Oryctolagus cuniculus: one gene and its partner. The protein of the gene in region 2 interacts with the protein of the main gene of each other region in a biochemical or structural test. Links are inferred from orthologs where the notes say so. Each region holds a gene or a part of one and is shown on either strand. Other genes may lie near its edges. The genes, in order: ATOX1 and ATP7B.

Region 1 (4,282 bases), on a different chromosome or scaffold from region 2:
AGGCAGGGAGAAAACATAATACACCTGAGAAAAATGGGCTCTGGGGCTTCTCAAACTCAACACCTCTGGGTCTGGATTATTATCATATAGTACACAGGAAACTGACATCAATATTCAAGCAGCTTGCTTTCCAGGGCTGGACTCCAACTGTGTGGCTTCTTCTACTGCAGCCAAAGCAAAACCCACCTTAAATTATAGTCAGTTTTGGGGCTGAATCTGTGGCGTAGCAGGTAAAGCCACCACCTGCAGTGCCGGAGGCCCATATGGGCACCACTTCGAGATCCTGCTGCTCCACTTCTGATCCAGCTCTCTGCTATGGCCTGGGGAAGCACTGGAAGATGGCCCAAGTCCTTGGGCCTCTGCACCCACGTGGGAGATCTGGAGGAAGCTCCTGGCTCCTGGCTTCGGTTCAGCGTAGTTGTGCGGCCAGTCGGGGAGTGAATCAACGGACGGAAGACCACTCTCTCTGCCTCTCCTTCTCTCTCTGTGTAACTCTGACTTTCAAGTAAAATGAATAAATCTTTAAAAAAAATAATTTTTCTTTTCTTCCAGTTAAACACCTGTGACTCCTTGAAGTAGTTTCATGACTTTTCAACAACAAAAACAACCACCTCTCAGGTAACACACTCTTCTCCCTACAGTTGAGAGGCAGTCCCTCAAAACCCTTATTCCCTTCAGCTGTTCATCTTGTGATATGGAGCCTGTCGGGTTTTGTGATGAAGAGGGTCCTTTGTCACAAGCCCTGGAAGGAGACTTGAAACAGACTGACCCTCAAACTGGCCTTCTCCTCCACTGCAACCCCTCACAATCCACCTGGCGGCGTGCCCTCTCCCAGGCCCAGGCTGAGTAATGCTGACCTCAACCACTGCCGCAAGTAGACCTGCTCAACTGGTACTGGCTCATTCTTTGTCCACATTAAGTGCTGGCTCAGGACCACAGGGAAATGACATCTGAGATGTTTACAGCTCTGCTCAGGGGGCCTCAGGCTCATCTGCAAGCTCCCAAAGAGCCAGGCTGCTAAGACAAAGGGGCTCAGCGGGACCCCTCTGGGTCCCCACTTGGTATACAGCCAGGAAACCTGAAACCCTGGAGCCAAGCACTGAACGCTGGGACCTCAACCAGGACCTCAAGAATGCAACTAGGATACAAACTTCCTCCCACGTGGCTGTGACTTCATCAGGTCCCACCTGGTCAGGCCAGGAGACACCATGAGCCTGAAGACAAAGGGGCTTAATCTTGACTCTAACTCCAATACCTTCAGTAAGTTATTAGGCTTCTCATTTTTACTTTTTTTAGAAAAATATTTCAGCCGGTGCCACGGCTCAATAGGCTAATCCTCTGCCTGCAGCACCGGCACACAGGGTTCTAGTCCCAGTCAGGGCGCCGGATTCTGTCCCAGTTGCCCGTCTTCCAGGCCAGCTCTCTGCTGTGGCCCAGGAGTGCAGTGGAGGATGGCCCAAGTCCTTGGGCCCTGCACCCCATGGGAGACCAGGATAAGTACCTGGCTCCTGCCTTCGGATCAGAGTGATGCGCCGGCCGCAGCACGCCGGCCACGGCAGCCATTGGAGGGTGAACCAACGGTAAAGGAAGACCTTTCTGTCTCTCTCTCTCACTGTCCACTCTGCCTGTCAAAAAAAAAAAAAAAATTTCATTTATTTGAGAGGTAGCGTTAATGACAGAGGGAGAGACAGATGGAAGATCGGCCACAGTTGGACCATTCCTAAGCCAGGAGCTTCTTCTGGGTCTCCCATGTGGGTGCAGGGGCCATCCTCTGCTGCTTTCCCAGGCCATAACAGAGAGCTGGATTGGAAGAGGAACAGCCGGGACTTGAACCAGCACCCCCATGCGATGCTGGCACCACATTGCGGGAAGGGAGGGTGCAACTGGTGCAGTGATTAAGATATTACTTGGGATGCCTGCATCCCACGCAGGTGTGTGTGAGTCCTGGCTGCACTTTCCAGCCCAGTGTTCTGCTACTGTGCACTTCCGCAGGCAGCAGGTGATGCCGCAAGTGGCTGCATCCTGGCCCCCAACAACAGTGGGATCGGGACTGAGTTCTAGGTGTCTGCCTGCCGCCTTGCCCAATCGTGGCTGTGGAGGGTATGGGGGGGAGTGAATGAGCCAACTGTCTCTCCCTTTCAAATAACATGGAAACCATTAACTAAAATTTAAAATCTAAAAGATAAGGCATATATGTAAGACCAAGTGAACTGCAAAGCCAGCCAGCAAGTATGGGCATGTGCAAACTGTAGAGTTCGTATATCTCATATTCCTTCCCAAGCTCTAGCGTGTACAGCGCCGACTTTGGGTAGGTTCCTGAAACCTCTCCGAGGCTGGTGGGTCCAGGCTGAGGACCTGACTGCTGGAAAGGTGAAACGCACTGTGTCCACGCAGGGTCGCCCAGCGCTGACCTGAGAGGAGGCCGGGCCAGGTGCAGAACTTCTGTAAACCCGGTCCTGCCCGTGAGGCAACAGCTGGACCCACCCACTTGCTCAGAACGGCCCGGCCAACTCCCCGGCCAGAGCAGGGCGTCCACGTGTAACAGCCGTTCCCGCTGGACACCGACCCTCCTGGGTCACGCGGGCTCACTCCGTCCCCTCCCCGAGACTCCACTTCCCGGAGCTGCAGGGAAGGTTTGCGTTTGTAGCTGCACGAGGCCATGCAGTTCCAACGTTCTGCAGCCAGGCGCCCAGATTTAACTCTTTTCGGATGCGATTTTCTGGAGGGTCCCCGAACCTGGGGGCGGCTGGGGAGGAGGAGGAGGAGAGATAGTTAACAGCTCCAGCCGCGGCCTGAGCCCTGGAAAAGCGACTAGTGGCCGAGCGGCGGTGTGGCCGGGGCGCAAGCCGAGCACCGCAGGCTAGCGCAGGCGGGGACGGCGCGGCCACTTACCGGCATGACAGGCGCAGCAGACGCGGCGGCGGTGGCGGTGGCGGTAGCGGTGGCGGTGGCGGTGGCGGCGGCGACGGCGGCGGGGAGCGGCGGCGGCAACGCGTCTCCGGGCTGCAAGGCGGGACTCCAATGCGTTTCCGGGAGTGCGCGCGAGAAACCCCGCCTACTGGCAAGACTGGCACCTTCTTATTCCCCTCGGCAGGGCGGCGGGGCGGCCGAGCAGACCCCGCCCCTCGGGTCGGGCATCTGGCGGGCCCCGCCCCCTGCAGGCCTGGCGGTCGCCGAGCCGCCAGACACACGAACACCTGGGCACGTTGGCGAGAGGCGGTGAGAGGGAGGCTTCCCTCCTCCGTCGGCTGTTAGCTATTTTGGGGGCGCCCATGTTAGGCCATGTTGGGAACACAAGGCAAAGGCCCGGCAGCGCGGGTCCCGCCCTTCCCTCCCCGACGCCTGGCGGCGCCGAGCGTCCGCAGCCTCGAAGGGAGCGAGGAGGCGGCAGTGGTGGCGGCGCCGGGGTTCAGGAGCGGAGGAGGGGTCTCTAAGTGGGGCTGGAAGGTGGCGGCGGCGGTTCCCGAGAGGAGGGCTCGTCTGAGGGAGAAGCTGCGCTGCTTGGTGGGGACAGGGGTGGGGACAGTGGGAGAGCGCTTTGGGCACAGGGAACAGCGCGCACCCAAGTCGGAAGGCAGGAGTGGGCCCGCCCGGAGAAACCAGCTGGCAAAGAGGTGCACCCACTGCCACGAGGGGAGGCAGGGTTGCTCTGGGAAACTTAGGCACGTCAAGTTCTGGCGTCTCTCTCGCTCTCGCTCTCTCACGCACCACCGCCAGTGGTCATGTGTGTGGACATTCCCTGCCGGTCGGAGTACTTTCAAAGGTTTCTCAGTAGCAGAACTGCTTGGTGAGTTTAGGAAGCACTGGGATTTCTTCCTGTCAGTTGTGAAAATGTGGATGACTAGAGGACGTTACGTTCTTCTAAAAAAAAAAAAAAAAAAAAAAAGTTGAAATATCTTCCATTCACTGATTCACTCTCCAGATGGTCAGAATAGCTAGATCTGGGCCAGGCCGAAGCCAGGAGCCAGCAACTCCATCCAGGCCTCCCACATGGGTGGCAGGGACCCAAGTATTGGGCCATCATCTGCTGTCTTCCCAGGTGCATTAACAGGGAGCCGGATGCTAGTGTGACACACATCATAAGCGGCAGCTTAACCCACTGTGCCACCATGCCAGCCCCAGGCTATTATAGTAAGTAGAATAAGGAAGATAAGTCCCACATGGTCCGAAAAACTTGATTTCATAGAAATTGAAAACAAAATGGAGGTTACCAGAGACTGGGGAGAGTAATGGGGAAGAAGGGGAGGGGCTAAGTTGATGAACAGGGACTAGGTAATAGGTA
Region 2 (3,804 bases):
GCTACTATCTGCGAGGTTAGCATCCCATATGGGTGCCAGTGTGAGTCCCAGCTGCTCCACTTTCTTTTTTCTTTTTTAAAAAGATTTATTTACTTATTTGAAAGTCAGAGTTACACACAGAGAGAAGCAGAGGCAATGAGAGAGAGAGAGATAGAGAGAGGTCTTCCATCTGCTGGTTCACTCCCCAATTGGCTGCAAAGGCCAGAGCTACGCCAATCCGAAGCCAGGAGCCAGGAGCTTCCTCCAGGTCTCCTGTGCGGGTGCAGAGGCCCTAGGACTTGGGCCATCTTCTACTGCTTTCCCAGGCCATAGCAGAGAGCTGGATTAGAAGTGGAGCAGCCGGGACTTGAACCAGCGCCCATATGGGTGCTGGCACCGCAGGAGGCGGCTTTACCCGTTACACCACAGCACCAGCCCGGTACTCCACTTTAAATCCAGCTCCCTACTAGTGTGCCTGGGAAAGTAGTAGGTGACAGCCCCAGTACTTGGGCCCCTGCCACCCATACGGAAGCCTCAGAGTTCCAGGCTCCTGGCTTTGGCCTAGCTCAGTCCCGGCTGAAACAGCCACTTGGGGAGTGAACCAATAGACGGGAGATCTCTCTGTCTCTCTTTCCCTTACTCTCTTCTCTCTTTGCAACTCTGCCTTTCAAATAGAAATAAATAAAATGCTTCCAGCCAGCCAGCCAGCCAGCCAGGGAGGTGGTCTCCTCACTCACTTTAGTAGGGATTCAGCAAAGAGAACCCTTTCTGGCCTTAGCTGGGGTCAAAGGTGACATGGCTGGGGAGAGCTGCCACTACCTGCCGCGATGGGTATCCCGACCAGGTTGTAGATCAGTGCCAGGACCAGATTGACTCGTATCCTCCGGACAGTCCTCTTGGAAAGGTGAATGCTGGCCACCACGTCCAGCAAGTCATTCTGCAGGAGAGGAGTGAGTGGTGAGGGAGGGGCCTGTCCCCAGGCCCTCACCACTCCCACAACCTGGACGTGGCAGAGCTCACTCTGATGAGGACGACGTCGGCAGCCTCGATGGCGACATCAGTGCCGGTCCCGATGGCAATGCCCACATCGGCCTGGGCCAAGGCCGGGGAGTCGTTGACCCCGTCTCCCACCATGGCAACCTTCTTCCCCTCGTTCTGGAGCTCCTGGACCTTGGCCACCTTGTGAGAAGGCAGCACCTCCGCAAAGACCTTGTTGATGCCAACCTGAAAGGAAAGGAAAACAGTACTCGGTGTTGGCGGAAGATCCTGAACAGTAACTGAAGCCCGTGAGTCACGATGGTCCCCGCCTCCCCTCAGCCTCCAGGTCTGGTCATTCATACCTGTCAACCATGTCCTACAGATTTAAGGGCACGGGGCAAATGTCTGCCCTGCTCCCACCCCAACTCCCTGCCCTGGCTTAGCAAACAGGCCCCTGGCTGGCCTCCCTGTCCAGAGACGGGCCTCTTCTCCACCTGCTGTCCTACCTTCTCTGGTCACATTCCTCTCCTGCTTCAAGTCCTCTGGCAGATCCCACCCTCTCCCCCAAGGACTGTCTCTGAACTTCAGGACTTTGCCTTCCCACATGCCTGTGTGTCTGGTCTCTGTCCCGCAGCCTGCAGCTGGTGCCACACTGGACACAGCGTTATTCAGCAACCCATGACTTCTCCAGATCGCCTGCCTCTCCGTATCCCCAGGGGATGCTCCTGCACCTGTGCTGTCCTGGGAACTTCAACTTTCTTCCCACTCCTCCCCAATTTCCTCATCTGACTGACTCTTGACTCCAGCCTCCCTCCCCTAGGGACATCCCCTGCCCCTCCAGCCTGGGAGCTGAGGGGCTCAGATCTACACCAGGTCCTGAGCCCACCCTCTGCGCAGGACCATGAGCCCCTGAGGACAGGCCCCTCTTCACTCTTCCTGCCTGGCACTGTGCCTGTCACACCTGTGCTTGTTGAATGGAGGAACACGTTTTAACCAGGTAAAGGGGGGAAACGTACTCAATTCACCAGTAGTGAGCAGGGCCTGCAAACCAGAAGTAATCTGCTTCCCTCAGAAGTAGCACCTAACTCAAAAACAGCTCTGGACACATTAGGGCAGGGCCAGTGGAGTCTCAAGAATTCCCTGGGGCGCCAGTGCTCGCAGGTAGCTACCCAGCAGTGCTGTTGTCACAATCAAGGGCGCAGGAGAAACGCCCAGGACCAACTCATTCACCTGCGGCACACAGCAGAGAAGAGCTGAGCCCACAAGACGGGCCCTTAGCAGGAAGGTTAGAGAGTTTCTGTTGTAGCCCTCAAGCCAGGACCTTCTTGGGGAATGGTTAGAGAACACTGGAACCGCTCTTTCCAGAAATGCTGGTCCCAGACCCAGTGACAAGATCTTTGCAGCAGCACCACAGCAGTCTCGTGGGAGACACTGCATGGGGAGAAAAGACCAGTGAGGGGGAAACAACAGACGCCCAGCCAAGGGCCTGAGGCACTGGCGTTTATTTTTCCCCCTGAACTACTTCTGTGAGCTTAACACCGCCTGTAAGTTTAAAGGGGGAAGAGGTCCCCAGCCCTGGGCTGTACCTGCGTGGCAATGGCTCTGGCTGTCTTCCGGTTGTCTCCCGTGATCAGAACCACATCCACGCCCATGCTTTTCAGTGTGTGAACGGCCAGGGCGGCCTCGGGCTTGACAGAGTCTGCGATGGCGATCATGCCGCACAGCACACCTGCGGCAAACCCCCAGTGAGCGAGAGAACACAGCTGTGCAGAACAGCTGTCGTCACACACAAATCCAGATCGTCAAGGTGTATGCACCATAATTTGGTTTTAATTGTTTTTAAAAATTTTGCACATTTACATATGCACATAGAAGCATGGCAGGACTATCAAAATATTCACAGCAACCCCCTGAGAGGTACAACCATTGTCATTATTTTTGTCTTTTTCTTTCAAAATTTTATAATTTTATATTTGGAAAAAAAGAGAGAGTGAGAGAGAGACAGATAGACAAAGAAAGCACAAAATATTCCACCCATTGGTTCATTCCTCAAATGCCCCCCAACGGTCAGGGACGGGCCAGGCTAAAGCCAGGAGCCCATATCTCACTCTGGGTCTCCCATGTGGGTGGCAGGGACCCAGCCACTTGGGCCTTCTAGACCAGAAAAGGAGCAACCCACACTCGAACTGGCACTTCCACGTGGGATGCTGATGCTGCAAGTGGCAGCTTGACCCTCTGTGCCACAATGCCAGCCCCTGTTCCCCATATTTTAATAGCTAGTATGTACTGAGTTCTTGCTATAGGTCAGGCACCATGATCCTTGCAGGAAATTGGGAAAATTCAGAGGGCTGTAAAGAAGATGAGAGGTGGGCTCTGGAGCAGCAGTGACGCTGGGGATGCTCGTGTGCCACGTCAGAGTCTTCCTCTCCCGATTCCAGCTTCCTGCTAATGTGCACCTGGGGTTAACCTTTCTGGGAAGTGAATTCATATTTTGTCTGCAGAAATGAGAAGGGTGACTCTGGACTGCCAACATGGACAAAAGCAAGGATGATGGTGAAGAGAATTTACAATTCCAAGAGTAAGAAGGCCAATGCCAGAGCAGAGCTGGCTGTGGAAAGATGGAGCTGGGGAGACAGAAAGGACCTCAGACTGAGTGAAGTACAAAGAGGGCAGGACCACCTTCTGGAAAACAGCCCAAAACTCAAGAAAGGAAGATTTATTTAAAAAAATGTAAAGGTGGTCATTGTCTGACATCCTCAGGAAACTGCATTTTTGAGCAGCAGGAAAGCAGGAGAGGGGACATACCATCAATAGCCACCAGGATGGCTGTCTGTCCCTTCATCTCAT

What was found.
Region 1: the proteins of ATP7B (region 2) and ATOX1 form a complex in vitro, tested with the Homo sapiens proteins (3 studies listed by BioGRID and IntAct). The link is inferred for Oryctolagus cuniculus from reciprocal best matches to the Homo sapiens genes ATP7B and ATOX1.

What each region holds. Positions count from the first base shown.
Region 1 is NC_091437.1:38,728,060-38,732,341, forward strand, and holds the start of ATOX1 (copper transport protein ATOX1), read right to left. Parts: upstream 3,085-4,282; 5' UTR 2,899-3,084; coding exon 2,893-2,898; intron 1-2,892. UniProt on the Homo sapiens protein: Binds and deliver cytosolic copper to the copper ATPase proteins. May be important in cellular antioxidant defense.
Region 2 is NC_091440.1:71,320,607-71,324,410, forward strand, and holds part of ATP7B (copper-transporting ATPase 2), read right to left. Parts: coding exon 3,763-3,804; intron 2,687-3,762; coding exon 2,544-2,686; intron 1,204-2,543; coding exon 1,000-1,203; intron 917-999; coding exon 799-916; intron 1-798. UniProt on the Homo sapiens protein: Copper ion transmembrane transporter involved in the export of copper out of the cells. It is involved in copper homeostasis in the liver, where it ensures the efflux of copper from hepatocytes into the bile in response to copper overload.